Linked DNA regions of Anolis sagrei. The protein of the gene in region 2 interacts with the protein of the main gene of each other region in a pairwise test. Links are inferred from orthologs where the notes say so. Each region holds a gene or a part of one and is shown on either strand. Other genes may lie near its edges.

The links.
Region 1: the proteins of NUDT21 (region 2) and MYL6 interact in binary tests that used the Homo sapiens proteins (3 or more experiments, as listed by UniProt). The two-hybrid records come from large-scale screens. The link is inferred for Anolis sagrei from reciprocal best matches to the Homo sapiens genes NUDT21 and MYL6.
Region 3: the proteins of NUDT21 (region 2) and CEP126 interact in a two-hybrid assay, tested with the Homo sapiens proteins (2 studies listed by BioGRID and IntAct). The link is inferred for Anolis sagrei from reciprocal best matches to the Homo sapiens genes NUDT21 and CEP126.
Region 4: the proteins of NUDT21 (region 2) and RPLP1 interact in a two-hybrid assay, tested with the Homo sapiens proteins (2 studies listed by BioGRID and IntAct). The link is inferred for Anolis sagrei from reciprocal best matches to the Homo sapiens genes NUDT21 and RPLP1.

What each region holds. Positions count from the first base shown.
Region 1 is NC_090022.1:138,221,397-138,229,130, forward strand, and holds the start of MYL6 (myosin light polypeptide 6), read left to right. Parts: upstream 1-4,708; 5' UTR 4,709-4,808; coding exon 4,809-4,811; intron 4,812-5,016; coding exon 5,017-5,044; intron 5,045-7,734. UniProt on the Homo sapiens protein: Regulatory light chain of myosin. Does not bind calcium.
Region 2 is NC_090028.1:6,630,656-6,637,572, reverse strand, and holds the start of NUDT21 (cleavage and polyadenylation specificity factor subunit 5), read right to left. Parts: upstream 3,003-6,917; 5' UTR 2,897-3,002; coding exon 2,781-2,896; intron 1-2,780. Other genes in the region: prolyl 3-hydroxylase OGFOD1, read left to right, coding at 4,281-4,437, 6,548-6,693. UniProt on the Homo sapiens protein: Component of the cleavage factor Im (CFIm) complex that functions as an activator of the pre-mRNA 3'-end cleavage and polyadenylation processing required for the maturation of pre-mRNA into functional mRNAs.
Region 3 is NC_090023.1:22,936,140-22,943,339, forward strand, and holds the start of CEP126 (centrosomal protein of 126 kDa), read left to right. Parts: upstream 1-4,194; 5' UTR 4,195-4,364; coding exon 4,365-4,543; intron 4,544-7,200. Other genes in the region: ANGPTL5 (angiopoietin-related protein 5), read right to left, coding at 515-613. UniProt on the Homo sapiens protein: Participates in cytokinesis. Necessary for microtubules and mitotic spindle organization. Involved in primary cilium formation.
Region 4 is NC_090024.1:10,970,819-10,977,859, reverse strand, and holds the start of RPLP1 (large ribosomal subunit protein P1), read left to right. Parts: upstream 1-4,017; 5' UTR 4,018-4,158; coding exon 4,159-4,230; intron 4,231-4,543; coding exon 4,544-4,618; intron 4,619-7,041. UniProt on the Homo sapiens protein: Plays an important role in the elongation step of protein synthesis.

The DNA.
Region 1 (7,734 bases), on a different chromosome or scaffold from region 2:
ATACATGAGGCAATAAGAGTAAATAAAAGCAAACTGTGTAGATATTAAACCCTTATTAAAAATGTCTCTTCAGATGGCAGAAAACCATCTTTTACATTTATATTTTGTCTTGAATGACAAAAGACAATATTCTTCAAGGTGTAGAATATTTGGTACTGTTCCATTACCTGGGTAGAGGCCACACGGGAGCTCTAGACAGAGAAGGATAGTCCATATTACAGGGGGAAGTGGGTTGAAGGAGTTAAACCATTTGTTTTCCTGTTATACCCCCCAGTCATGTTGATGTCCTCGAAACAACTATTGTTTATCATATGGGAAAAGGGGGGGGGGGTATAACCAGTGAAAATGGGAGAAATTGTTTTCCTTCTTCAACTCCCCCCCCCCCAATAAAATTGACTATCCTTAGTCTGTCTAGGCTCCCTTTTGAAGTCTGCCCAGATAATGAAACAGTCCCAAATATTCATATACAGACTGAGTATCTCTTATTCAAAAAGCTTGGGATCAGAAGTATGGTATTTTGAATTTATTCAGATTTTGAAATATCTATATTTGTGTGTGTGTGTAGGTGTGTGTGTAGTGATACATTGTGGAGACTGGACTAAAGTCTAAACATGTAACCATTTCATATACACCTTATACAATTCACTGAGGGCAATATTGTACGTTTTAAATGCTTCTGTTCACGAAACAAAGTCTGTGTACACTGAACCATCAGAAAGCAAAGGTGCTTTCTATCTCAGAAATCTATGTGGACAATTTTAGATTTTGGAGTATTTTGGATTTCAGAATTCCAGATAAGGGATGCTCAACCAGTACAATCAGTGCAGTACTATTTACTTGTGCCAATGTTTGCCAAGACACAACAGATAAAGTCAAATGAGACTATGCTGGGCATTTACTTCTTCATATATCAGTTGCTGCTGCATGCTCTTCTTTAGCAACACTTGTCAGCATTTGATCCTTAGGAACATTAGAATCACATACTAATCTTTTTCTCCGCAGAGCTGCTTAAAATGGTGCTGAATGGCTGTACCTCTCAAGCAGGACTCCTCAGTCCTTTGCTTCCCAGTGCAGTTGATATTCCTTTTCTATCTGTCTTTGCGTAAACAAAGTCTGCAATGAGTCCCTTCGCCCTCCTCAGCCAATCTAGACTGAAAAGTAATCTTATTTATATTACAATGTGGGGACATCAGTGAAAGATCACGCATTGAACCAGAAGGGGGCACCATTGAAATGGTACAGAACCAAAATCTATGAGACTGCAGACACAAACAATTTTTTCCCTTCTGGACAATAAAAAATTTGATTTTCAGATATTTCTAGTTTCTGTTTTGTCACTGCATTCCTTGTCACATTCCTTGTACTCAAATGCTGAGAAACTGAATGAAAACCAGAGAGCTCCTATATTTTTGGACAGCAGGGGAAAAAAGTCAGGCTCCATCCACTTGTTAATTTTCATGCCTATATGGTTCAGTGCTTTAGAACAAATCAATAAAGCCAAGAAGTGTTTTGCCTCCTGAAAATGAAAAGGTATGTACTTTCTATGCCATACATGTTGATTCCTTGAACGCCTTATATTTATTTAAAGCCTGATAACTGCACCAAGAAGAGAGTTATAATAATAAATAATAATAAAACTTAATTTATATTCCTACATCCCCACAACCACAATATATCAACATCCCCACAATCACAATTAATTACTGGAATGTGTGGTTTCCAGGTTGTATGGAAAGGATACTTGAAGATGCCAGCCACAGATGCAGATTGAATGTCAGAAGAAAATGCTGCTAGAATACAACCATACAGTCTGGAAAACACACAACACCTCAGTGATTTTGGCCGTGAAAGCCTTCCACAATTAATTAGATTGTCTGTGCCATGTACTGTAGGGCTGAGAGACATTACATGGAAACTTCTGTAGTATGCTTCTTACTGATATCATCTATATATGTATTATTAACATGAGGTAGTAATAGACAATGAGATCTGTCTCTGAGAACAAACTACATGAGCAGGGTGTTTGGTGACAGGCTGGCTTGAAGGTCTCTCATTCATAACAACAATAAGAGTCCAAGACCTAGCGTAGTGTAGTGGTTTAGGCACTGGATTATTACTCTGGAGACACTCTCCCAGCCTCAGAGAAAGGCAAAGCCCCTCCAAACATGAAAACATTCTGACAGAGCCTTAGACTTGCTGTTAGTCAGAAACTACTTGAAGACACAACATTAATACAAGCCTGTATGGGAGGATTAGTCAGTTGTTTATCTTTTCCATTCTTTCTCCTTCCCCAAATATATATTTAGTATATATAGGTAGAACATATTATTCAGATCTAGACAGGTGTTACCACTAAAATGTCTATACAAATATAATTTAAGTTAGAAGGGCAAATGAGACACAGTTGTGACACACACATATTCCATCCATGATGCAGGCTCTCTCTGCTCAAAATGCAGTAGGTTTCATCAGCAATAATATAAAAATATTTAGCTGGAAGAAAGTCTGTTCTATCCACATCAATGGGATCAATTACACAGTCCAATCCAAAAACAATATTCTTGGTGTCTTGGTTATTAGGCCTGTTCCTGGGGTTATTTGGGGCGCCGATTCAGAAAATGGCATTGGGTAGGCCACATCAGATCTAATTATTACAGATATGGTTATTACATTTGTCTGTAGGTGAGCAGATGACAACTGGTAGATGGCATATGTTCTGTATCAAAAACTAGAGCTGATAAAGAGAATCTGGTGCCGTTTTTGTAATCAGCAAAACGAATATACTCAGAAACAGGTGTAAGATTCGAGGCACCAAAATGTGTGTTGGCCAGTGTTATTTAAGTTAGGTTCCTCATCTACCTAGGTGCCAAGTAGACATTAACATTTCAAAAGTCCCTACCAGAGATGGAATTTTTATACCAGGATGTTTATCTCCAGATTACTAGATTAGGAGTTTGAATTTCAATTTCACTTCCAAATTTCTGAATTCTTGTGTTTTGTTCCAAGAGTTCAAACAAACCTTCTCAGCGTCCTATTTCTTTCAAGAGCAGCAATACATGTCCAGAATGGGAATAGCAACCATGCATCCCTCCTCAGGAGGAAATGAATTCCATGTAGGTTCACCTATAATTAAGCATTACTGCAGTCCAGGGTCTACCCCATCATATTTCAAGGCCCAAATACACAGTAGAATGAATGCAGTTTGACACCACTTTAATGTACGTGGCTCAATGCTATGGAGTTCTGGTGTCTGAAGTTTGGTGAGGTCCTTCTCAGCAGAGGCTCAAGATCTTGTAAAGCTACAACTTCCAAGATGCTACAGAACTGAACAGTCAAAGTGGTGGGTTGCTGTGAGTTTTCTGGGCTGTATGGCCATGTTCCAGAAGCATTCTCTCCTGATGTTTTGCCTGCATCTACAGCAGGCATCCTTAGAAGTTGTGAAGTTTGTTGGAAACTAGGAAAATTGGGTTTAGATTCCCCGTAGTAACCTACGGATATGAGAACTGGACCATAAGGAAGAGTGAGGAAAATAGATGCTTTTGAACTATGGTATTGGAGGAAATTTTTGAGAGTGCCTTGGATGGCAAGATCAAACCAGTCCATACTTCAAGAAATAAAGCCTGACTGCTCATTGGAGGGAAGGATATTAGAGGCAAAGATGAAGTACTTTTGCCACATCATGAGAAGCCAGGAAAGCTTGGAGGAGACAATGAAGCTGGGAAGGAAAATGGAAGAGGGGCCGACCAAGGGCAAGGTGAATGGATGGTATCCTTGAACTGACTGGCTTGACGCTGAAGGGGCTGGAGGTGGTGACGGCCGACATGGAGCTTTGGCGTGCGCTGGTCCATGAGGTCACGAAGAGTCAGAAGCGACTAAAAGAATGAACAACAAATATCTATGGAATTACAAGGATGGAAGAAAGCTCTAAAATTAAAACAGTAAATAAAGAACAACATTCAAATAAGGGGGAATTCTAGACAAGAAACAATCAGGGCCAACTAACACCTCCCAACAAAGGATCCCCCAGGCAAGAAGCTGCCAAGCCTTGAAGCTGCAAGGCCATTAAATGCGAATCAATGTGGCCAACTGCAACATTCACACTTGCCTCAAACAGACAGAAGTTCTTTCTCCCACCCTGGACCTTCCACTGATATATAAACCCAATTTTCCTAGTTACCAACAGACCTCACAACCTCTGAGGATGCCTGCCATAAATGTGAGAGAAACGTCAGGAGAGAATGCTTCTGGAACATGGCCACACAGCCCAGAAAACACTCAGCACTTCTGGCCATGAAAGCCTTCGGACAATACATAGTCAAAGTGGCGTCAAATTGCACACTTTCCACAGTGAAGGTGCCTCCTTACTGGCACTTGTAAGGCCCTCCAATGTGTTCCTTCACAGGACACTGACTGGCCTCCTGACTACTCTAAACTCAGGGCTCCTGAGCAGCAAGGCCTCGAACAAGTTTTCCTGCCTCTGGCGAATACATTTCCCGGCATCCCTAGCGGCCTCCCCGCCGCGAGCCACCGCCCCGCGCGCTTGGTGGCCGGGACGCCCTTCTATAGGCAAAAAGGAGGCCGACTGCAGTCACTTCCTGGAGAAGTGGGAGGGGAGGCTCCTCCCCTTGGAGCGCGGCCCTTCCCCCCGCCCTCTGCCTTTCCCGTCCAGCCAATCAGAGGACGCGTTTCTTCCCCGTGACCAACCGGCGGAGAGAGCTCGCTCGCGCCCAGGGCGGAAGGAGGTGCCACTTGTCCGAACGCCGGCCAGGAGGAAGGAACTCTCTGCTGCTGTTGCCGCTGCCGCCGCCATGGTGAGTGCCTGGCAGGGGCGACAAGCTTTGGGGGGCTTTGGAGCGCCTGTGTTGGGGGAGCCTGAGGGGAGAGCGGTGGGGGCTTCAGGGTGCGGCTTCTGCCCCAGGAATCCCGGGTCACCTTCAGGGATGAGGCAGGGGCGGCGTGGGCTTTGCGAGGGGGAAGGCCCCTTAAGTGACCTCTCTGGTTGTGTTTCCTTTGCAGTGTGACTTCTCCGAAGACCAGACCGCAGGTAGGCCCCGCTATTCCTTCTTTTTGGAGGGGATGAGAGGGAGGAGGAAGTAGTCGGGGTGCCACCAGGCAGAGCCCCTCTCCTCAGGCGCATCTCTCTGCACTGGGGAACTGAGGCAGCTTGACACCGCTTCAGATGCCCTGGCTCAATGCTGTGGGATGCTGGCAGCTGTACTTTGGCACTCTTCCACAGAGGAGGCTCAAAACCTTGCAAAACTACAGCTCTCAAGATCCCATTGCCTTGAGCCAGGGCAGTTGAAGTCATGCCTAACTGCATTAATTATTCAGTGGAGTCTTCTCACGTTTGATCCCCTTCCAGGCCTGTTTGGGTTCGTGGCTCTTCCCCCACCTTTCCTTTCCATTTCTTCTAGCTTTTCTCTCCTTCCCACCTTTCCTCACCCTTGATCACAGACTCTTCATGGTGAGTTGTGTGTGTGTTTGAGGAAACTGGACTTCATATGACTAATTCAGCATTTGTCCCTGTTGCTAATAATGTGACTAAACTTCTGGTGCATACCATTTGCATTGAACTAACAGTAACAAGAGAGAAGCCTCCCACAAGAATGGTAACACATCTGGGCAACGTCCTTGCAGATGGCCAATTCTTTCACATCAGAAACCACTTGCAGTTTCTCAAGTAGCTCCTGGCACATAAAAAAAATCCACTGGGGTTTGGTTCCAGGATACCAGAATTCATGGATGCTCAAGGCCTATTAGACACAAAAGCGTAATAAATATCCCATGGTAAACTCAAAGGTTGCTTTTTTAGAATAGTTCCAAGCCGTGGATGCAGGATCCATGGGTACAGAGAGCCAGCTGCATGTAGTGTTAAGTGTGGCTTCTCTCATCTTGGGCCCCTTCTACACTGTCATATAATCCACATTATCTGCTTTGAACTGGATTATATGAGTCTACACTACCATATAATCCATATTATCATAGCGGAAAATCCACATTATCTGCTTTGAACTAGATTATATGAGTCTACACTACCATATAATCCAGTTCAAAGCAGGTAACATGGATTTTATATGGCAGTGTAGAAAGGGGCCTTGTTGAGCTGCCTGTTCCCATGTTAAGGAGCCTTCTACTTTTCTCTAAAAGTTGATCCTGGCTCTTCTGCGTAGGCTTTTAAAGGATTAGCCTGCAAACTGTCCTCCTCCCACTTGGGTATGGCGAGTGTGTTATGGTATTTCCTGGTTCAAACGGTTGGGAGCAGACCCACCCAGATCCCTCTGATTATTCACTTTCGCACTCCATTGCTAGATGCCTGTCTGCTTTTCAGTCTGCTCAGTGTGCATATTTGAAACTGGAATGCCATTGGCTCAGGCAGGCAGCTCTCTGAAGCAATGGGGCCCTTTGGGTGTTGTGCAAAAAGACAGGATATGATTGAACACGGCGGGTGGAATGGTGCTTTCCCTCTCCAGAATTCAGCTGAATTTGGAAGGAGGGTTTTCTCACCCCCTGCCTTGTGTTGGGAGAGTTTGGAAGACTTGGGGGATGGCCTTGTACCTCCCAACTTTTTGTTTAACTGCTTGCTTCTCTGCTTGAAAGGAAGAGGTTTCAAATGAGCCAAAATGGGTGCCTAGTATATGTTGTCTTGGTTTCCTTATATGGGCAAGAAACTCATTTTGGAGCAGGCAGGGTTGGGAGCTGCCTTACTGGTACATTCCTGCCTGGATCCCAAGTGACGGAGTAAATGAGGAGAGAGATTCCTGGGCAAAGAAGGAAGTTTCGAAGTGTAGAGGTCTTAAGAGCAGCAGTCAAGCTCTGTTTCTAGTTGAATTTTTCTCTGCCCCTTGTGGTATGCCCCGAGATTCAAATTGCTGTAATAGGTGTGCATTTAGAAAGGGAATTGGGGTATCATGTCCTGTTTCTAAGGCATGATTCCCTCCTTAGAGACAGTTTTCAAAGGAACAGCAAAAAGAGAAAGGAGCTCGTGGCACCTCAAAAGACTGGATCATTTTATTATATCATGAGCTTTTTGTTTTTCTTGCCTACTTTCTCAGATGCTTGGCCAGAAGTATAAATGCAGCACGCATCCAACTCTATGTACTTAGTGCTGGTATTAAAAGAAGGAAGGGATCTTGTGGCATCTTTAAAACTAATTTATTTTGATATAAGATGAATCCCCCAAAAGGTATGCTGAAATCAAATCGTTAAAGATATCACAAGAATCTTCCTTCTCTTTTTCATATATATAGCGCTGAATTTTTTGTATCAGAGAAAGTGGGCAATATACTACCAGAGTACATGCTGTAATAGATGTGTTGGTGTTTAAGGTTGCATGGGCCTCTTCGTTGTCTTCTTGGTATGTGACATGCTGCATGATTTGTGCATGAACATTTTAAGGATTTTGCTGACATATTCTTAAATTTAAAAGATTTCCTGCCAGTTTTGCATGCTTTCTTAATTACTTATATGATTAAATCTGCACAGTCCACATACTGCAAACTGTAATAAATGTGCCACTTGGGGTATACTGGATGAAGACAGAACAATACCTTAAAGGGAGCATCACAAGTTAGCAAAAATGATTTTTCCCCTTGCTCTTGAAGAAGCAATGACCTTTGTGTCTAGCAGTATTCCATTACCCCAAAGCTAGGGAATATGTGGCCATCCAGATGTTTGTTGTGTTACGATTCCTTCTGCAATAATTCGGCATAGCCTGTGGTGAGGGGTGATAAATGC
Region 2 (6,917 bases):
AGGGTATATGTGTGTTTTTGGATATATATGCAAATGTATACAGGTGCATATATGTCTATATGTGTGTGTATAGACACATGTATATGCATATGTGTATGCAGATATATATGTATGTATAAGTAAAGGTAAAGGTAATCCCCTGACATTAAGTCCAGTCATGTCTGACTCTGGGGTGTGGTGCTCCTCTCCATTTCTAAGCTGAAGAGCCAGCGTTGTCCATAGACACCTGAAAGGTCATGTGGCCAGCATGACCGCATGGAGCGCCGTTACCTTCCCGCTGGAGCGGTACCTATTGATCTACTCACATTTGCATGTTTTCAAACTGCTAGGTTGGCAGAATCTAGGGCTGATAGCGGAAGCTCACGCCGCTCCCTGGAATTGAACCTGCGACCTTTTTGGTCAACAAGCTCAGCACCTCAGTGCTTTAACCCACTGCGCCACCGGGGGCTCCTTTGATTGTAGGCGAACTATAATTCCCAGCACATGGAATGTGTGTGTGTGTGTGTGTGTGTATATATATATGTCTCTATATATGTAGGTATATTTGTGGGTGGGGATTTTAATATATGCATATATGTATAATTGTATATTTATTTATTTACGACATTTCTATGCCGCCCATGAGGTCTCTTCCAACTCAGGTGCATGCATGTCTCCATAAATCTCTATGTCTCTATATGTGTGTATGCGCATATATGTATGTGGGCATATTTGTGTTTTTGTATATATATGCAAAAGTACACATATGTCTATATGTGTGTGTGTGTATATATGTGCATATTCATATGTATATGTGTATGCAGATATATATGTTTGTATATGTTTTGTATATGCGTATACAGATTCATGCATATGTATATATGTCTCTATATATGTATATATATTTGTGGGTGAGGATTTTAATATATGCATATATGTATGATTGTATATTTATTTATTTACGACATTTCTATGCCGCCCTTCTCTCCCCGAAGAGGACTCAGAGCAGCTTACAAGATATATATACATACAATATATTATATTATCAGCATAGTACAATATTAGCATTAAATATTAAAGATGGAGGGGTAGCAACCCTTCTCACCCCGAAGGGGACTCATATAAATAGACAGCTAGGCATATACAAGCCCTATGAGAACAAGCCCTATGAGGAGCGGCTTAAAGAGCTGGGCATGTTTAGCCTGAAGAAGAGAAGGCTGAGAAGAGACATGATAGCCATGTATAAATATGTGAGAGGAAGCCACAGGGAGGAGGGAGCAAGCTTGTTTTCTGCTTCCCTGGAGACTAGGACGCAATGGAGCAATGGCTTCAAACTACAAGAGAGGAGATTCTATCTGAACATGAGGAGGAACTTCCTGACTGTGAGAGCCATTCAGCAGTGGAACTCTCTGCCCCGGAGTGTGGTGGAGGCTCCTTTTTTGGAAGCTTTTAAGCAGAGGCTGGATGGCCATCTGTCAGGGGTTTTTATTTGTCGTGTCAGAGCAACCAGTCCATTATATATTACATTTCTAACAGAACAAAGCAAACAGACAGAAAAATACACATCTTGTGAGTTTGGTAGTTGGTTAAATGTCCTTTGACCAGTATCTGGCCACTTGGAGTGCTTCCAGTGTTGCTGCAAGAAGGTCCTCCATTGTGCATGTGGCAGGGCTCAGGTTGCATTGCAGCAGGTGGTCAGTGGTTTGCTTTTCTCCACACTCGCATGCCAAGGATTCCACTTTGTAGCCCCATTTCTGAAGGTTGGCTCTGCATCTCGTGGTGCCAGAGCGCAGTCTGTTCAGTGCCTTCCAAGTTGCCCAGTCTTCTGTGTGCCCAGGGGGGAGTCTTTCATTGGGTATCAGCCATTGGTTGAGGTGCTGGGTTTGGGCCTGCCACTTTTGGGCTCTCGCTTGCTGAGGTGTTCCAGCGAGTGTCTCTGTAGATCTTAGAAAACTATGTCTAGATTTAAGTCATTGGCGTGCTGGCTGATAACCAAACAGGGGATGAGCTGGAGATGTCTCCGCCTTGGTCCTTTCACTATTGGCTGCTACTTCCCGGCAGACGTCAGGTGGTGCAATACCGGCTAAGCAGTGTAATTTCTCCAGTGGTGTAGGGCACAGACACCCCGTGATAATGCGGCATGTCTCATTAAGAGCCACATCTACTGTTTTAGCGTGGTGAGATGTGTTCCACACTGGGCATCATAGCGCAAGGGCAGATGTCTTCACTGTGTCTGGTTGTGATCCCCAGGTTGTGCCAGTCAGCTTTCGTATGATGTTGTTTCTAGTGCCCACTTTTTGCTTGATGTTCAGGCAGAGGGGAAACAAACAGGCACATGAAATCACTCTAAACAAAAGATTCCCCCCAGGCGCTTCTAGGCCATTGAATGCTAATCAAGGTGGTCAGTTGAAACATTCACACCTCGCTCCAGCAGACAAGAGTCCTTTGTCCCACCCTGGTCATTCCACAGATATATAAACCCATTTTCCTATTTCCAACAGACCTCACTACCTCTGAGGATGCTTGCCATAGATGGGGGCGAAACGTCAGGAGAAAATGCCTCTAGAACATGGCCATATAGCCCGAAAAAACCTACAACAACCTTATGTAGATATATTTGTGAGTGTGGGTTAATATGTGCATTTGTGTATGTGTGTATAGATAGACATATATCAACGTGTGTGTGTGCATATACATATATGTGTGTGTGTGTGTGTTTCCAGCAGTAGCATTATGCAATGAGCTGTCCCAGCCTAGGCCCTCTTCCCCACCCACCCCGTCGGATTGAAGGCCCGACTCACAGGTTGATGGTCCTCTCGAGGGTGAGGGGCTTGCTCTGCTGGATGTACTTGTTCCCGAACTGGTTCACCCCTCGGGGCCAGCCGGTCTGGGAGCGGTTGGGCGGCACGACGGACATAATGGAGGCCCACGCGGCGGAGGCTCAGGAAGACACCGGCATCCCCCACCAAGCCTTAGCCACCCCGCCAAAGGCCGCGCCGGAAGACTAGGCCGCACTTCCGGCGAAGAGGCCATTCCCGCTTTCCTTTACACTCGCGCGCGCCACGCAGCCAATCAGAGCGCGTGCGGCGGGCTGAGCTCTCTTCCTATTGGCTGTCAGGAATCAATACTACGGACTCCTTTGAGTCGATAAGCACCAACCTTTACCCTCTCATGGACGCGCAGCCAATCGGAACGCGCGAGGCGGGCTGAGCTCTACTCCTATTGGCTGTCAAGGATTGATACAGTCTCCCGCGGCACAGCCAATGAAAACGCGCAAGGCGGGCTGTACTCCATTCCTATTGGCCGTCAGGAATCGATACTTAGTTCCCATTGGTTGCTATAGCGCCGGCATCTCTCCTTTTAGCAACCTTTCATTCCTATTGCCTGTTACCGCGGCGCAGCCAATGAAAACACGTGAGGCGGGCTGTACGCTACTCCTATTGGCAGTCAAGAATCGGTACTGCCTCCCGCGGCACAGCCAATGAAAACGCGCGAGGCGGGCTGTACTCTATTCCTATTGGCTGTCAGGAATCAGTACTTAATTCTCATTGGTTGCTATAGCGCCGCCATCTCTCCTTTTGGCAACTTTTCATTCCTATTGCCTGTTACCGCGGCGGAGCCAATGAAAACGCATGAGGCGGGCTGTAATCTATTCCTATTGGCTGTCAGGAATCGGTACTTAATTCCCATTGGTTGCTATAGCGCCGGTATCTCTCCTTTTGGCAACCTCTCATTCCTATTGCCTGTTACCGCGGCGCAGCCAATGAAAACGCGCGAGGCGGGCTGTACTCCATTCCTATAGGCTGTCTGGAATCGGTACTTAATTCCCATTGGTTGCTATACCGCCGGCATCTCTCCTTTTGGCAACCTCTCATTCCTATTGCCTGTTACCGCGGCGAAGCCAATGAAAATGCGAGAGGCGGGCTGTACTCCATTCCTATTGGCTGTCTGGAATCGGTACTTAATTCCCATTGGTTGCTATAGCTCCGGCATCTCTCCTTCAATCCTATTACCTGTTAGGGTTAGCCCATTCATTATCTATTATAATATAAACGTAATTTTAGGAATATATATTTATATATATATATATTAAGACTTCCAATTGATTTTACCATATTTTAAAACTATATAGTATACCCTCACTGGATTAGAATAGCAGTCCAATTTGAATCTCTTTTAATCCACCTCCCCCGGGCTCATTTGGTATGTTCCAAATCCTAGCACGCTGATTGGTCAAGCGGTTTTAGGCCCCGCCTTCGCGCTGAGGCAAACCGGAAGTAGGCCCAAACAGAGGGGAAAGCATGAGCGTGCGGCAGCGCAAGGCAACTGTGGCGGGAGAGGCGGCCAAGAAGCGTCTCAAGCGGGAAGAACGGGCCGAGTTCTCCGCGGCGCTGAGGGAGAAGGACCTGAAGGAGAAGGCGGGCGCGGCCTGGGCCCGGAAAGAGGCGCTGCGCGACGGTAAGGCCGCCTTGGGCCGCAGAGTGGAGGGTGAGGCCTGGCGCCAGGCAAACTGGGCCCGCAGTCGAAATTGTTGTCGGTTTTTAAATATATTTTTGCTCGTTTAAATATTTTCTAAGTCATAGAATGTATTTTATTTATTTATTTATTTAGCAATTTTGTATACCGGTCTTCTTCTCCCCTCTGTTGGGGGACTCGGGCCGGTTTCCAACAATAAAATCACAAAACAATCATTAAAAACATCATATAACATAATCCAATTAAAACGTAACAGCAAAATGCAATCCCATAATAACAATGGTCAGTCGTCATAGTGAATTCGTTGTCCGTCATTCATCGTCATCTCTGGTTGCTTCTGCCTATGATACTGTGAACCACCGCCTCCTCCTGAGAAAAATGTATAATATTACAAAGGACGACCACCTCACCCGCGTCATAGGAAACCTGCTACAAAACAGGAGCTTTTTTGTTGAGTTCCAGGGCCAGAGAAGCAGATGGCGGAAACAGAAGAATGGCCTGCCTCAGGGGAGCGTGCTTGCCCCATCCATGTTCAACATTTACACAAATGACCAGCCACTGCCAGAAGGGACAGAGAGTTTCATCTATGCTGATGATCGTGCCATTACTGCTCAAGCAAGGAGCTTTGAGATGGTAGAACAGAAGCTCTCTGAAGCTCTAGGTGCTCTTACTGCCTATTTCAGGGAAAACCAGCTGATCCCTAATCCATCTAAAACACAGACTTTCACCTCAAGAACAGACAAGCATCCCGAGCTCTGAGGATCGCCTGAGAAGGAATCCCACTGGAGCATTGCAACACACCCAACATACCTGGGAGTCACTTTGGACCGTGCTCTGACCTACAAGAAGCACTGCCTGAACATCAAGCAAAAAGTGGGTGCTAGAAACAACATCATACGAAAGCTGACTGGCACAACCTGGGGATCACAACCAGACACAGTGAAGACATCTGCCCTTGCGCTATGCTACTCTGCTGCTGAGTATGCATGCCCAGTGTGGAACACATCTCACCACGCTAAAACAGTGGATGTGGCTCTTAATGAGACATGCCGCATTATCACGGGGTGTCTGCGCCCTACACCACTGGAGAAATTACACTGCTTAGCCGGTATTGCACCACCTGACATCCGCCAGGAAGTAGCAGCCAATAGTGAAAGGACCAAGGCAGAGACATCTCCAGGTCATCCCCTGTTTGGGTATCAGCCAGCACATCAATGACTTAAGTCAAGAAAGAGTTTTCTAAGATCTACAGAGACACTCGCTGGAACGCCTCAGCAAGCGAGAGTCCAAAAGTGGCAGGCTCAAACCCAGAACCTCAACCAATGGCTGATACCAAATGAGAGACTCCCCCCTGGGCACACAGAGGACTGGGCGACTTGGAAGGTGCTGAACAGACTGGGCTCTGGCACCATGAGATGCAGAGCCAACGTCAAGAAATGGGGCCACAAAGTGGAATCCACGACATGCGAGTGTGGAGAGGAGCAACCCAGTGACCACCTGCTGCAATGCAACCTGAGCCCTGCCACATGCACCATGGAGGACCTTCTTGCGGCAACACCAGAAGCACTCCAAGTGGCCAGATACTGGTCAAAGGACATTTAATCAACTACCAAACTCACAAATTTTGTATTTTTGTATTTTGTCTGTCTGCTTTGTTCTGTTAGAAATGTAATATAATTGACTGGTTGCTGATGACTCGATAAATAAATAAATATCATCATCATCATTTAATCTCTCATTAATCACCCTCCATCCAAGATGCTCTAGGCGATTTACAAGCTTAAAATTATATGCCACCCTTCTCACCCCAAAGGGGACTCAGAGCCACTAACAACACACACACACACACACACACACACACACACACACACACATATATATATATATATATATATATTCTGTTCTTATCAGTTTAAAAAGATTTTCTTGATGAGTATCAAGCAGTTGTAAGCCGTGCCAAATCCCCTCTGAGAAATGGGGCAGGGTATAAATAAATAAAAGTTTTTATTATTATTAATATTATTATCAAAGTTGATACAAAGAATCCAGAATACCTGATTAAGGAAATGTTCCTCTTCTGTTTTTCCTCCAGAGGCTGTTGTGCTGGACCCGGCCCCTTTCCCTCACTGCGTCATCACAAACTTCATCCAAACCGAAGGCTTTTTGGAAGGGCTGCAAAAGGAGCTTTTGAGCCTGGATTTCCATGAAAAGTGCAATGACTTGTACAAATTCAAACAGGTATGTTATTTGGTAATCATCATTAAAGCACTCTGTGATGTTGGGGTTCGAGCATTGAACCGGGTTTGAATCCTTCCTTGATGTTCAATTCCCCCTCCCCCCGATATTTTTGAGGTTACAAAAAAAAAATAACCTGATTTATTCATGATTTCTAACTTGTTTCTAGCACGAGGTTTGAGAAGTATAATCTTTGCCACAAATAAGCAAAGGTGGGTTAGTGGGTT
Region 3 (7,200 bases), on a different chromosome or scaffold from region 2:
ATGTTTATTTTTCTAAATCAAAACTATTTCCAAAAATTCTGCACAAACCCAGACTCACCCTCCCAGATTTATGAAAAAGAATTGCAAAAGTTTACCCAGATTAAATGGATAAGAGTGTTTTTCTCTTACACAAGTAAAATGTACAGAAAAACAGTTATTTTGGATTTACACTGGCATGCATCTAGAAATTGATCCAAACATTACAAACCCATATTAAATGTATCTATATTCTACTTTTATTAGTAACTTAGTTAAAAAGGTCTTGTCTGTGGCAAAACTCCCTGTAATTTGAGGAGAGCTTTAATTTTATTCTGCCACAACACTAGCTTTAATAAAAGTCTACTAGTTTTAGTAAACTGCACTACTTTTAACAAAGTCTTTTCAACAGCAACTCATCTACTCTCTCTATATGCAATACCCCTCCCAATCCAGAAAGAGAGAGTCAAAAATAGTATTGCTGTCTCAAGTCACTAGAGTGTATTAATTTATTAAGACAACTCATTTTAAACCTTACCTTTGCAGAACATGGCTTGACATTACCAAATACAGTATCAGCCCAAATGAAAAAGAGAACATTTAGCAGGATCAATGAGGATGCATTGGGGTAGATCATCTCTGAGTTGAAGAAAATGAAAGTTTTCAAAAGATTTCTAACTGCCTCGAAAAACACTGGCCACTCACTGATGAAATCTTGAGTTAAGAATTCAGGAATGTGTACAACACAAACATTGGCCAGAAAGCCAGCCCTTTTATGTTTCAAGTTCAGAACACTTACATAAATGGTTTTAAGTAAACCAAATATGGTTTGATCTCCAAAGGAATTGTACATCATTCAACAATTTTATCCACAGCCCAGCTATTAATGCTGTACAATTGTTCCTTAATGGGAAATAACTATTGTATTCTTTTTAACAGGTGCAAATATAGCATACTTAAATAAACATACCAGTTGTTACTAGATCCATTCTGACCATTATCTCTAAATGTTTAAAAGATGTATCTGGAGACCCTCCTTGATCCATTGAAGCTTGCCATCTAATCTATCCACTACTTGTCCTTATCTCCTCTCCTCTTCTTCACATAGTGGGAAGTAGGAGAAAAGAAAGAAGTATATTGAGTATGGAAATGTTACAACGGACTTTCCTGTTCTTGGATCTTTGAATGTCTTCATTCCTTCTACCCTCTTTTGATGTAAAGTGAAGGCTTCCACATAAAAAGGATTCCACCTCATGGCCTCCATGACAACTTTGGGTCTCTCCCAGGTGGTGTCTTCCCCTACCCTTGCTGCAGGACACACTTTGGATCTTGTTTTCTGTGCAGGATGGGATGATGGTCATTATGGTGTGGAGGAGCTTATTGTTGCACTCCAGGTCAGGAAAAAGCCCTCTGACTTTAAAACACACCACGCGAAGAGTGAAGAAACAAATCTTCTTTTATTGAAGCTTAGTAAATAGCCAGAAGAAATAAATGCTTGTAAGAAAATAGGAAGGTTCCAAAAAGTAATGTCCATAAAAGGCAGTAACACAAAGCAATGTCCACACAAGATATAAAAGCAATCCAAGACAGTGTTTATCCAGACAGGAATCAACAGGATGCAATGACAATCAAAAAGGCTTAAAAAACTCCACAGGAACAGGATTTCCATTGCACATGAACTTGATTTCCAAACGATGATTGATCTAACAAGTTTTCCCTTGAAGCAAACCTTGTATCCCAAAACCCAGAAATTGGTTTCGCTTTCCCCCACATTTGCCCTTTATCAGACGAAGCCTTTCAGAGTGACATAAATACTGAGTTTGCAGTCAATTCTGACTGATCTCCAGCCGCCTATTTTCAACTCCCTATCTGGCTACTCATTAAAATGCCCAGGTGTCAGATTGTTTTCCAAACCCAAATCTTGAGAGCTCACAGGGACAGGGAGTGAACCATCATTGCTAGGCCCAGCAGGAATATTCTCATGAGAAACTGCCCTTGGCACTGGGGACTCTCTGTACATGCCTTAGTTACATCCTGTCTGGATTACTGTAATGCACTCTATGTGAGGCTGTCTCTGAAGAGTGCTCAGAAACTTCAGCTGGTCCAAACAGCTGCAGCCAGATTGCTCACTGAGGCTGGCTACAGGGAGTAGACAACCCCACTGTGGCTGCAGCTCCACTGGTTGCCAGCCTGTTTCTGGGCACAATTCAATGTGCTAGTTATGACCTTTAAAGCCCTAGATGGTTCAGGTCCTGGCTGACTGCATATCCTTGTACGAACCTGCCCGGGTCCTTCTCTTGGTTCCACCTCCATCTCAAGCTTGGTTGGTGGGAATGAGAGAGAGGGCCTTGCTTTCAAATGCTAGTCCTCTATACATTGTGGACCTCAACTCCCAGAAGCCTCAGTCACCTTGGCGAATGGTTAGGAATCCTGAGAAATGAAGTCTTGAGAACCCTGGTGGACCACCATTATTTTACAACTGGAGTTGTCAAGGTTTGTGGACTTCAACTCCCAGAAACCTGTCACCTTGGTGAATGTTTAAGAATTCTGGGAAATGAAGTCTTGAAAAACTCTAGAGGATCACCATTGCTTTCAAATGCTAGTCCTCTATATATTTTGGACTTCAATTCCCAGAAGCCTCAGTCACCTTGGTGAATGTTTAGGAATTCTGGGAAATGAAGTCTTAAAACCCTGGATGATCACCATGGCTTTAAAACTCTAGCTGTCAAGGTTTTTTGGACTTCAACTTCCAGAAGCCTCAGTTACCTGGGCGAATGATCAGGAATTCTGGCAAGTGAAGTCCCGAAAAGCCCTGGAGGACCAAAGATTGCCTATGAAGTGCTAGTACTGTATATATTTTGGACTCAGAAGCCTAAGTCACATAGGCGAATGTTTAGGAATTCAGGGAAATGAAGTCTTGAAAACCCTGGAAGGACCACCATTGCATTACAATTGTAAATTGGAGTTATCAAGGTCTGTGGACTTCAACTCCCAGAAGCCTCAGTCACTTAGGCGAATGTTTAGGATTCTGGGAAATAAAGTCTTGAAAAACCCTAGAATCACCACTGCTTTGAAATGCTAGTACTATATGGCCAATTACTGTGATTTTATATTGTTTGGTGTGTTCATTTATATTGTTTTTGTATTTATTTTTATTTTCATTATATGTTGCATAATGTTTGTATTTTATGTTGTATATTTGCTGTACTGTTGGGCTTGGCCTCATCTAAGCTGCCCTGAGTCCCCTTGGGGAGATGGTGGAGGGGTATAGATAAAGTTTTATTATTATTATTATTATTATTATTATTAATAATAATAATATATTTTGAACTTTAACTCCCAGAAGTCTCCAATATTTTCAGTTCCCATAAATCCTGGCAGTTGTCTAAATTGGCTGGTGCTTTTGGAAGTTGAACTGAAAACTCTGGAAGACAAAACATAGGGAACTATTGTATTGTTGAAGGCTTTCATGGCCGGAATCACTGGGTTGTTGTAGGTTTTTTCGAGCTATATGGCCATGTTCTAGAGGCATTCTCTCCTGATGTTTCGCCTGCATCTATGGCAAGCATCCTCAGAGGTAGTGAGGTCTGTTGGAACTAGGAAAAAGGGTTTATATATCTGTGGAATGATTTCCCCAGGCACTGCCAGGCCATCAAATGCTAATCAAGGTGGTCAGTTGAAACATTCACACCTAGCTCCAGCAGACAAGAGTCCTTTGTCCCACCCTGGTCATTCCACAGATATATAAACTCTTTTTCCTACTTCCAACAGACCTCACAACCTCTGAGGATGTTTGCCATAGATGCAGGCGAAACGTCAGGAGAGAATGCCTCTAGAACATGGCCATACAGCCTGAAAAAACCTACAACAACCCAATAGGGAACTATTCCTTTTGGACTTCAACTCCCAGAAGCCTCAGTCCCTTTGGCGAATGTTTAGGAATTCTGGGAAATGAAGTCTTTTAAAAAAAACCTGGATGAGCACCATGGCTTTAAAACTGTAGCTGTCAAGGTTTTCTTTGGACTTCAACCCCCAGAAGCCTCAGTCACCTGGGTGAATGGTCAGGAATTCTGGGAAATGAAGTCCAAAGGAAACACTTTGGCTGGCCCCAGTCGCAAGCTAACCCAGTGCCTTAGGATTGTTTTGAAAGGCTGCCTTCCGGGCCCCGCCCCCTCCTTGTCGCCCCGCCCCTTTTCCCGGCGGCCATTTTGGATTAGCTCCATCCAATCGCCGGTCGCGCGCGCCGTCTCCCTTGGTTACCGTTGCGAAGGAAGTAGCGTCGCGGGTTGCTACGATGGCGCCTGGTTCTGAGGTTCCCTTTCGGGGAAGACAGAGCGAGGCCTTCGAGAGGGCGATGGCGGCGGCGGCGGGCTGAGCGGGGTGGATGGATGGAGCCCGGCGGCGGCGGCGGCAGAAGCGGCAGCAACCCCTCCAGCGGCTCCGAGCGGGCGGCGGAGGCCTGGCGCCGAGGCCGCGAAGGGGAAGGCCTCAGGAAGGGCCTCTCGGAGAGCGCCCTGCCGCAGGGTCTGGGGCGCCGGGCCTGGGCCGCTTTCTCCCCCTCCTCGCCGTATCCTCTCCTCTCCGCCGGCCTTTTGTGGGGCCGAAACAGCCTGACAGGAAGGTCCCAAGATAATCAAGACCAGCGTTTCTCAACCTGAGGGTCGGGACCCCGGGGGGGGGGGGAGGGAGGTCGAGGGGGGGGGGGTGTCAGAGGGGTCGCCAAACACCATCAGGAATTTTCTGTTGGTCATGGTGGTTCTGTGTGAGAAGTTTGGACCAATTCTATTGATGGGGTTCCGATTGCTCTTTGGTTGTAGATGAACTATAAATCCCAGCAACTACAACTCCCAAAAGTCATGGTCTATTTTCCCCCAACCTCCAGCAGTGTTCACATTTGGGCATATTGAGTATCTGTGCCAAGTTTGGTCCAGATCCGTCATTGTTTGAGTCCACAGTGCTCTTTGGATGTAGGTGAACTACAACTCCAAAACTAAAGGTCAGTGCCCACCAAACCCTTCCAGTATTTTCTGTTGGTCAGTGCTCACCAAACCCTTTTCTGTTGGTCATGGGAGTTCTGTGTGCCACGTTTGGTTCAATTCCATCGTTGGTGGAGTTCAGAATGCTCTTTGATTGTAAGTTAACTATAAATCCCAGCAACTACAACTCCCAAATGACAAACTCAATACCCCCTAACCCCAGTAGTATTCATATTTGAGTATTTGTGCCAAATTTGGTCCAGTGAATGAAAACACATCTTGCATATCAGATATTTACATTACAATTAATAATATTAGCAAAATTGCAGTTATAATAATAATATAATAATAATAAAACTTTATTTGTACCCCGCTACCATCTCCCCAAGGGACTCGGTGCGGCTTACATGAGGCCAAGCCCACAGTACATCAATAAAACGAAGGCAGTAACAAAATAAGCAATACAAAACAGTAAAATAAATCTCATAAACAAAAATAAATAATAACAATAACATGTTGTTGTTCATTCGTTCAGTTGTCTCCGACTCTTCGTGACCTCATGGACCAGCCCACGCCAGAGCTCCCTGTCGGCCGTCACCACCCCCAGCTCCTTCAAGGTCAGTCCAGTCACTTCAAGGATGCCATCCATCCATTTTGCCCTTGGTCGGCCCCTCTTCCTTTTACCTTCCACTTTCCCCAGCATAATTGTCTTCTCTAGGCTTTGCTGTCTCCTCATGATGTGGCCAAAGTACTTCAACTTTGTCTCTAGTATCCTTCCCTCCAATGAGCAGTTGGGCTTTATTTCCTGGAGGATGGACTGGTTGGATCTTCTTGCAGTACAAGGCACTCTCAGAACTTTCCTCCAACACCACAGTTCAAAAGCATCTATCTTCCTTCGCTCAGCCTTCCCTAAGGTCCAGCTCTCACATCTGTAGGCTACTACAGGGAATATCATGGCTTTGACTAGGCGGATCTTTGTTGCCAGTGTGATGTCTCTACTCTTTAAAATTTTATCGAGACTGGACATTGCTCTCCTCCCAAGAAGTAAGCGTCTTCTGATTTCCTGGCCACTGTCTGCATCTGCAGTAATCTTTGCACCTAGAAATACAAAGTCTGTCACAGCCTCCACATTTTCTCCCTCTATTTTTGTAGGTGAACTACAACTCCAAAACTCAAGGTCAGTGCCCACAAAACCCTTCCAGTATTTTCTGTTGGTCATGGGAGTTCTGTGTGCCACATTTGGTTCAATTCAATCGTTGGTGGAGTTCAGAATGCTCTTTGATTGTAAGTTAACTATAAATCCCAGCAACTACAACTCCCAAATGACAAAATAACCCACCCACCCCAACCTCAATAGTATTCATATTTGGGTATTTGTGCCAAATTTGGTCCAGTGAATGAAAACACATCTTGCATATCAGATATTTATATTACAATTAATAATATTAGCAAAATTACAGTTATGAAGTAGCAACTAAAATAATAATAGTAATATAATAACAACAACAACAACAACAACAACAACACTTTATTTGTACCCCGCTACCATCTCCCCAAGGGACTCGGTGCAGCTTACATGAGGCCAAGCCCAAACGCAACAATACAAGCAATAATAACAACAATACAATCAATTAAAAAACACATAGCCAGTAAGATACACAACATTATCAATAAAACAACACATAATTAAAAACAGTGGGGAGGCCAAATGTAGAGTTAAAATTGGAAATAATGTTATGGTTGGGAGTCACCACAACATAAGGAACTGTATTAAAGAGTTGCGGCATTGGGAAGGTTGAGAAACACTGATCAAGACAGATAATCCACATTATCTGCTTTGCACTGGGGTATATGAGTCTCCATTGCCATACAATCCTGCTCAAAGCAGATAACCTGGATTTTATATGGCAGTGTAGATGAGGCCCTTTCCACATAGCTGTATAAAATCTCCATTGAATTGGATTATATGGCAGTTTATATCTTGTGTTATCAAAAGCTTCCATGGCCAGAATCATTGGGTTGCTGTGAGTTTTACAGGCTGTGTGGCCCTGTTCCAGAAGTATTCTCTCCAGACTTTTCGCCCACATCTATGGCAGAGAACCACTGGCGTAGACTGAGGGAAGTCTTGGGGTTTGTTGCTTTGTAATGTTTGACAGGGTCCTATGGGGTAGATCAGCCATACGGAATGTGTAATTATTTTCATTCATTACTTTTGGATGACCACATTTGTTGTTCTTCAACTTTAGGT
Region 4 (7,041 bases), on a different chromosome or scaffold from region 2:
TTACTATATATATATATATACACACACACTGTAGTATTATTATTATGATTATATATATACAACCCCCCTGTTGCGCCAACTCCACTGGCTACCGATCTGCTACCGGGCTGAATTCAAAGTGCTGGCGTTGGCCTTTAAAGCCCTAAACGGTTCCGGCCCAAGCTACCTATCTGACTGCATCTCTGCCTATGAACCCACCAGGAGTTTGAGATCTTCCGGGGAGACCCTGCTCTCGATCCCGCCTGCTTCTCAAGCTCGGCTGGCGGGGACGAGAGATAGGGCCTTTTCTGTGGTGGCCCCCCGGCTTTGGAACACCCTCCCCATAGAGGTACGATCAGCCCCTTCGCTGATGGTGTTTCGGAAAAGATTGAAGACATGGATGTTTAAACAAGCATTCGGTTAATCCGTTGTAACGAATTGTGATGACTAAGGATTGGTTATACACGGACGATGAATTTTGGATTACGATTCCAGTTATGAGATGCATAGGATTGTTATTGGTGGCCCAATAATTTGTACTGTATATGTGTTTTATGCTTTTAACTGAATATTGTTTTTTAAATGTTGTAAACCGCAATGAGTCGCCGATTTAGGCTGAGATATTAGCGGTATACAAGTGCATTAATAAATAAATAAATAATAAATATATATATAGTCATAGAAAGGAAGGAGGGAGGGAGGCCGCTCTTGCCTCAGGACTTCCACCAGGCCTCGCCCTCAGAGATGCGGCCTTCTCTTCCCTCAAACAACCCTCCTCAGGGTTTCCCGCCTCGGAGCCACCCTCAAGTGGGCCTGCTTTTCGCTCACACGAAACAAATAGAAAACAAGACTCATTATTATTATTGGGAAGATGTGAACTCAACAATGGACAGGGTATAGGGATTTTAGCTTTGAAGATCCCCACCGCTATCACCAGTTGCGAGGAGGTGCTTGTGTGTTGCTGAGGTCCTAATAATGGAAGTATTTTACCTCAGGCACTTTTTAATCTCACCGCTGCCACCAACTGTACAGATGTGGGTGTTATGGAGGGAATTTACCTCAGGCCTCAATGGTGTAGAAGAGAATATTATGGAGGAGGCCAATTATTATTTGTAAATTAAGGTAACGGCCACCAACAGTTTGAGGTACCACCGATGAGATCTGGCTCTACAGACGCAGATTAGTTGAGATGAGACGGTTTTCAACAAAGATAACAACTTTATTGTGTACAAAGCTTATAGTTGCAGGCTGTTAAATAACTTATGGAACTTTGAACATCATGTGGTTTATAATACAGTCCACTCTTCCAGATAAACGGTTCCAGCCCAAGATACTTATATGACCGCATCTTGGCCTACGAGCCCACGGGGACTTTGAGATCGTCCGGGGAGGCCCTGCTCTCGATCCCGCCTGCCTCACAGGCACACCTGGCGGGGACAAGAGACAGGGCCTTCTTGGTGGTGGCTCCTCGGCTGTGGAACACCCTTCCCATGGACATCAGACTGGCTCCTTCCCTGATGATATTCCACAGGAAACTAAAGACCTGCCTGTTCAAGAAGGCGTTCGAACAAGAAGTGCAATAATTGGTAATGACGACAGGAATGGAACAACGGAAAATGATACTGGATTGTGGTTTAACGATGAGACGACGCAAATGGCTTTTTGTATTATTGATATTGTTGATGTTGTTGATGACGATGTTTTTTGTTATTGCTAGATTGATTTTAGATTGTGTCTTGTAATTTGCACCCTGTCCTCTCTATGTTGTACACCGCTGTGAGTCGCCCCCGGGCTGAGAACAGCGGTATATAAGCACAGTAAATAAATAAATAAATAAATAAATAACACAGCTTGTGGCTAACTTTCACTGAAGTGAAGCTCTCTAGTGAACAATGTTTCACTACTACAAATAGCCTTTCAATTTGATCTTCCCTCGATCAAATCTCTGATCTCTAGTCCTTCCTTAACTAGGGATCTTAACTAGGCTTCCGTTTGTCTTCTTTGACTAAAGAATCTGGCCAGGTTTCTTCAGCCCTCCTAGACTGAAAAAACACCAGCCGCTCACACACAAGCCTCTCTCTCAGGCCTTTCCAAGCCTCACTCTCTGGCCTTTTTTAAAAACGCACATAACGTTTCCTGCTTGGCTCCGCTCACTTCTCCCTCTCATGAGCTAGCCAGCCTCGTCTCCTTGGCAACGCTCACTGTGGATTCAAACCAGATGACTCCAGTTTTAGCTACTGTTACAAACAAAAATACATACTCTAACAGTTAAACACAAACATAATAACAATGGCTTCTGCACAATTATTATTATTAGAGCCGTTCAGCAGTGGAATTCTCTGCCCCGGAGTGTGGTGGAGGCTCCTTCTTTGGAAGCTTTTAAACAGAGGCTGGATGGCCATCTGTCAGGGGTGATTTGAATGCAATATTCCTGCTTCTTGGCAGAATGGGGTTGAACTGGATGGCCCATGAGGTCTCTGCCAACTCTTTGATTCTATTGTCTTATCGAAGGCTTTCATGGCCAGATTCACTGGGTTGCTGTAAGTTTTTTGGGCTGTATGGCCATGTTACAGAAGCATTTTCTCCTGACGTTTCGCCAGCATCTAGGGCAGGCATCCTCAGAGTTTGCGAGATTTATTGGAAACTAGGCAAGTGGGGTTTACATAGAATCAAAGAGTTGGAAGAGACCTCCTGGTCTTTAACCCACTGCGCCACCGTATATATAGTATAATATACTACGTATAGTATAATACTAATATTGTGCTATGCTAATATACTGTATAAACTTATATTAATAGTAAGACAATATTATACTATATAATAATATATATAACACTAATATTGTATTGTATTTTGTTGTTCATTCGTTCATTCGTCTCCGACTCTTCGTGACCTCATGGATCAGCCCACGCCAGAGCTCCCTGTCGGCCGTTACCACCCCCAGCTCCCTCAAGGTCAGTCCAGTCACTTCAAGGATGCCATCCATCCATCTTGCCCTTGGTCGGCCCCTCTTCCTTTTGCCTTCCACTTTCCCCAGCATCATTGTCTTCTCTAGGCTTTGCTGTCTCCTCATGATGTGGCCAAAGGACTTCAACTTTGTCTCTGGTATCCTTCCCTCCAATGAGCAGTCGGGCTTTATTTCCTGGAGGATGGACTGGTTGGATCTTCTCGCAGTCCAAGGCACTCTCAGCACTTTCCTCCAACACCACAGCTCAAAAGCATCTATGTTCCTTCGCTCAGCCTTCCCTAAGGTCCAGCTCTCACATCCGTAGGTGACTACATATCTCTGGTTGTATTGTATTGTATAGACATATATTATAAATAATATTGTAATGTATACAATCTTCACAATATAATTATACAATATAATAGAAATATATTAATTATAATAATACATAAGAATATTAATTATAATTGGTATAATATTAATATACCACTAATTAATATATTAGTTATTATACCACTGATAATATACAATAATATATAATGATAATACTGTTTTATTTTGTATATTGGTACGTTTTAAGTTGCCTTATAAGGTTTTTAATTGAAAGTGTGGTGGAGGCTCCTTCTTTGGAGGCTTTTAAGCAGAGGCTGGATGGCCATCTGTCAGGGGTGATTTGAATGCAATATTCCTGCTTCTTGGCCGAATGGGGTGGACTGTATGGCCCATGAGGTCTCTTCCAACTCTTTGATTCTATGATTCTGATTCTATGAACACGCTCTATAACTCTAAGGCGCTTTAAGGCCTGAATCTCCCGGTGGCCATCTTTAAAATTTCTATCTCTATAAGCGCCAACAAGTCCTTCGCTGATTGGACGCTCTTGCTTTCACACCACGCGGTTTTGTCTCACCGGGGAGCATGCCTCGCTCTGATTGGCTTCGCGAACTCTCGCGCAAACCCGGCCGACCAACCCATGAGGCCCACCCTCGCTCTCTGACGCGATTGGCCCTCGAGAAACACAAAGGAGTCGCTTATTGGCCAGCGCGCTGTCCCGAGGCGGCTGCTGATTGGACGAGACGGGCTTGATAAGCGGCGCGGCGGGCGCGAGGCCTTCCTTTCCTTGTTCTGCCTCAGGCCGGAGCGCACAAGGTGCTGCGTCCTTCCGACGAAGCTAAGGCCGAGTTTCCAGCCGGCGACCAGCACCGCGCCCTCTTCTTCCCCTCTCCGGACCCGCCATGGCCTCCGTCTCCGAGCTCGCCTGCATCTACTCCGCCCTCATCCTCCACGACGACGAGGTTGCCATCACGGTCAGTGCCTGAAGTAGGGAAGGAGGCCGGGGAGGAGCGAGGGCGCATGCGCGGAGGCAATGCTGGGAAGCATGCAAAGGCAAACGGGAGGAGCGAGGGCGCATGCGTGGAGGCAATGCTGGGAAGCAAGCATGGGCAAACTTGGGAAGAGCGAGGGCGCATGCGCGGAGCTAATACATGGGCCAACTTGGGCCCTCCCCTCCGGGGGTTTTGGACTCCAACTCCCACAATTCCTAACAGCCTACCGGCCCATGCCTGCATCCAAATAAACCTGCTTTATAGTATCTGACTATGTCATATTCTTTGGTTTTAGGAGGACAAGATCAATGCTCTCATCAAAGCAGCAGGCGTCAATGTGGAACCTTTCTGGCCTGGCCTGTTTGCAAAGGTAAATTCAATCCCAACATTTATCACTGGGTTTTCGTTGGATGGCCAGTATCAGCGTTGGGATCTTTTGTAAGTGCCTCGTAATGGGATACTGATGGGTTGCCAATATCAAGGGATTCAATGAATAGCTTCTAGCTCATGAGAGCAGATATCAGGTAGCTGCTGAAAATTTCAGATACTTGCAGGTTAATATTTATTAACTTGCATCCCACTTTTTTTGCCATGTCAGGAGCGACTTGAGAAACGGCAAGTCGCTTCTGGTGTGAGAGAATTGGCCATCTGCAAGGACGTTGCCCAGGGGACGATGATTTGATGTTTTATCATCCTTGTGGGAGGCTTCTCTCATGTCCCCTGGAGCTGATAGAGGGAGCTCAACTGCCTCTCCCTGGATTCGAACCTGTGACCTGTCGGTCTTCAGTCCTGCTGGCACAGGGGTTTAACCCACTGCATCTCTACATTAGGAGACTCAAAAGTGGCTCACAATTAAAAACATGACAACTTAAAATTATACTCTGTGTATGTATTGCACCGACTGTAGTGCAGCTGGCTGGGAGTCAGCTGCATTAAGATCACTACTGACCAAAAGGTCATGAGTTCGAAGCCAGCCGGGGTCGGAGTGCGCTTCCGACTGTTGTGTAGCTTGCTGTCGGCTTCTGCAGCCCGAAAGAATTGCATCTGTCAAGTAGGAAATTTAGGCACCACTTATGCGGGGAGGCTAATTTAACTAATTTACGACGCCATAAAAATCTTCAGCGACTATGCAAAAAGAATGGAGAACTTCCTGACTGTGAGAGCCATTCGGCAGTGGAACTCTCTGCCCCGGAGTGTGGTGGAGGCTCCTTCTTTGGAAGCTTTTAAGCAGAGGCTGGATGGCCATCTGTCAGGGGTGATTTGAATGCAATATTCCTGCTTCTTGGCAGTGGGTTGGACTGGATGGCCCATGAGGTGTCTTCCAACTCTTTGATTCGATGATTCTATGAGGAAGTACTCCATTGTCACTAATGGATGGTGAAGCGACAATTCCCCTGGTGGCCAGAATACCCTCATGAAAGCTGGAATGTTAAATAGCTTCTGTGTGCCTGTCTATATATGTTGTGTGCTTATGGCATTTAATGTTTGCCACGTATATGTACATTGTAATCTGCCCTGAGTCCCCTGTGGGGTGAGAAGAGTGAAATATAAATACTATAAATAAATAAATGTATTGGCATAGCACATCATTAATATATTGTATTATTAGGATTAGATTGTATTACTTTATAATACTATTATAAAATGTATATAATTTTAGGATAGTATTCTATAACATTTTTATTTATTTATTTACTATATTTTTACCCTGCTCTTCTCACCCTGAAGGGGAATCAGATTAGCTTACAAATTATAGCAAAATTCAATGTCTCAATATTAATACAAATAATAAATATAACATTTCAAATTATAAAATAGTTAAAACATGGATGGAATACAACAGATTAAAACAGTTTCCCAATCACCCTTCCCCCACAGGCCAAACATAAGCCTGCTAGTAAAAGTGGTCTTATGCGTTATTACCACGAGGCGAGGAGATATCAAGTGCTAGTCTAGAAGGCTATAGGATTAGGGTACAGGTGCCACAGTTTTAAATCACAAGATAATGTATATGTTGTTTTCAAGTTATAATACTATTATTTTAAGGTAAGGTCAGGTTGTCCCCTGACATTAAGTCCGGTCATGTCTGACTCTTGGGTGTGGTGCTCATCTCCATTTCTAAGCCAAAGAGCTGGTGTTGTCCATAGACACCTCCAAGGTCATGTGGCCAGCATGACTGCATGGAGTGCCATTATATATAATACTATTATATGTATATATATTATTTTATTAGCATAGCACAATATTAGTATTCTTTTGTATTACATTAGATACTATTATTCATATTAAATGTGTATATATATTATCAGCATAGCACAATATTAGTATTATATATTATATTGTACTATATAATAATTTTCCATCTTGTCTTTACTGATAATATAATATAGTATATTGTATATACATATGATATTATAATGTAATACAATATAATACTAGTAATAATTCAATATTATAATTATATATTTACATTACATGTAATATTACTAATAATATTACAATATAATGGTATAATGCAATATAGTAATATATACTGATATTGTACTATGCTAATAATATAATATATTGTATGAAAATATATATTGTAAGCCGCTCTGAGTCCCCTTCGGGGTGAGAAGGGCAGCATATAAATGCCGTAAATAAATAATAAAATAAATAAATTTATAGGTCGTTTTCCAGTAAAGCTAGGGGTTTACCAGTGAACACAGGTGTTTTTCTAAAGCATGCAAACCAAGTATTCATGGCAAGGGCTGAATTTTCGGTCTCTTCTTCCTATAGTCCACTATGAGCTCC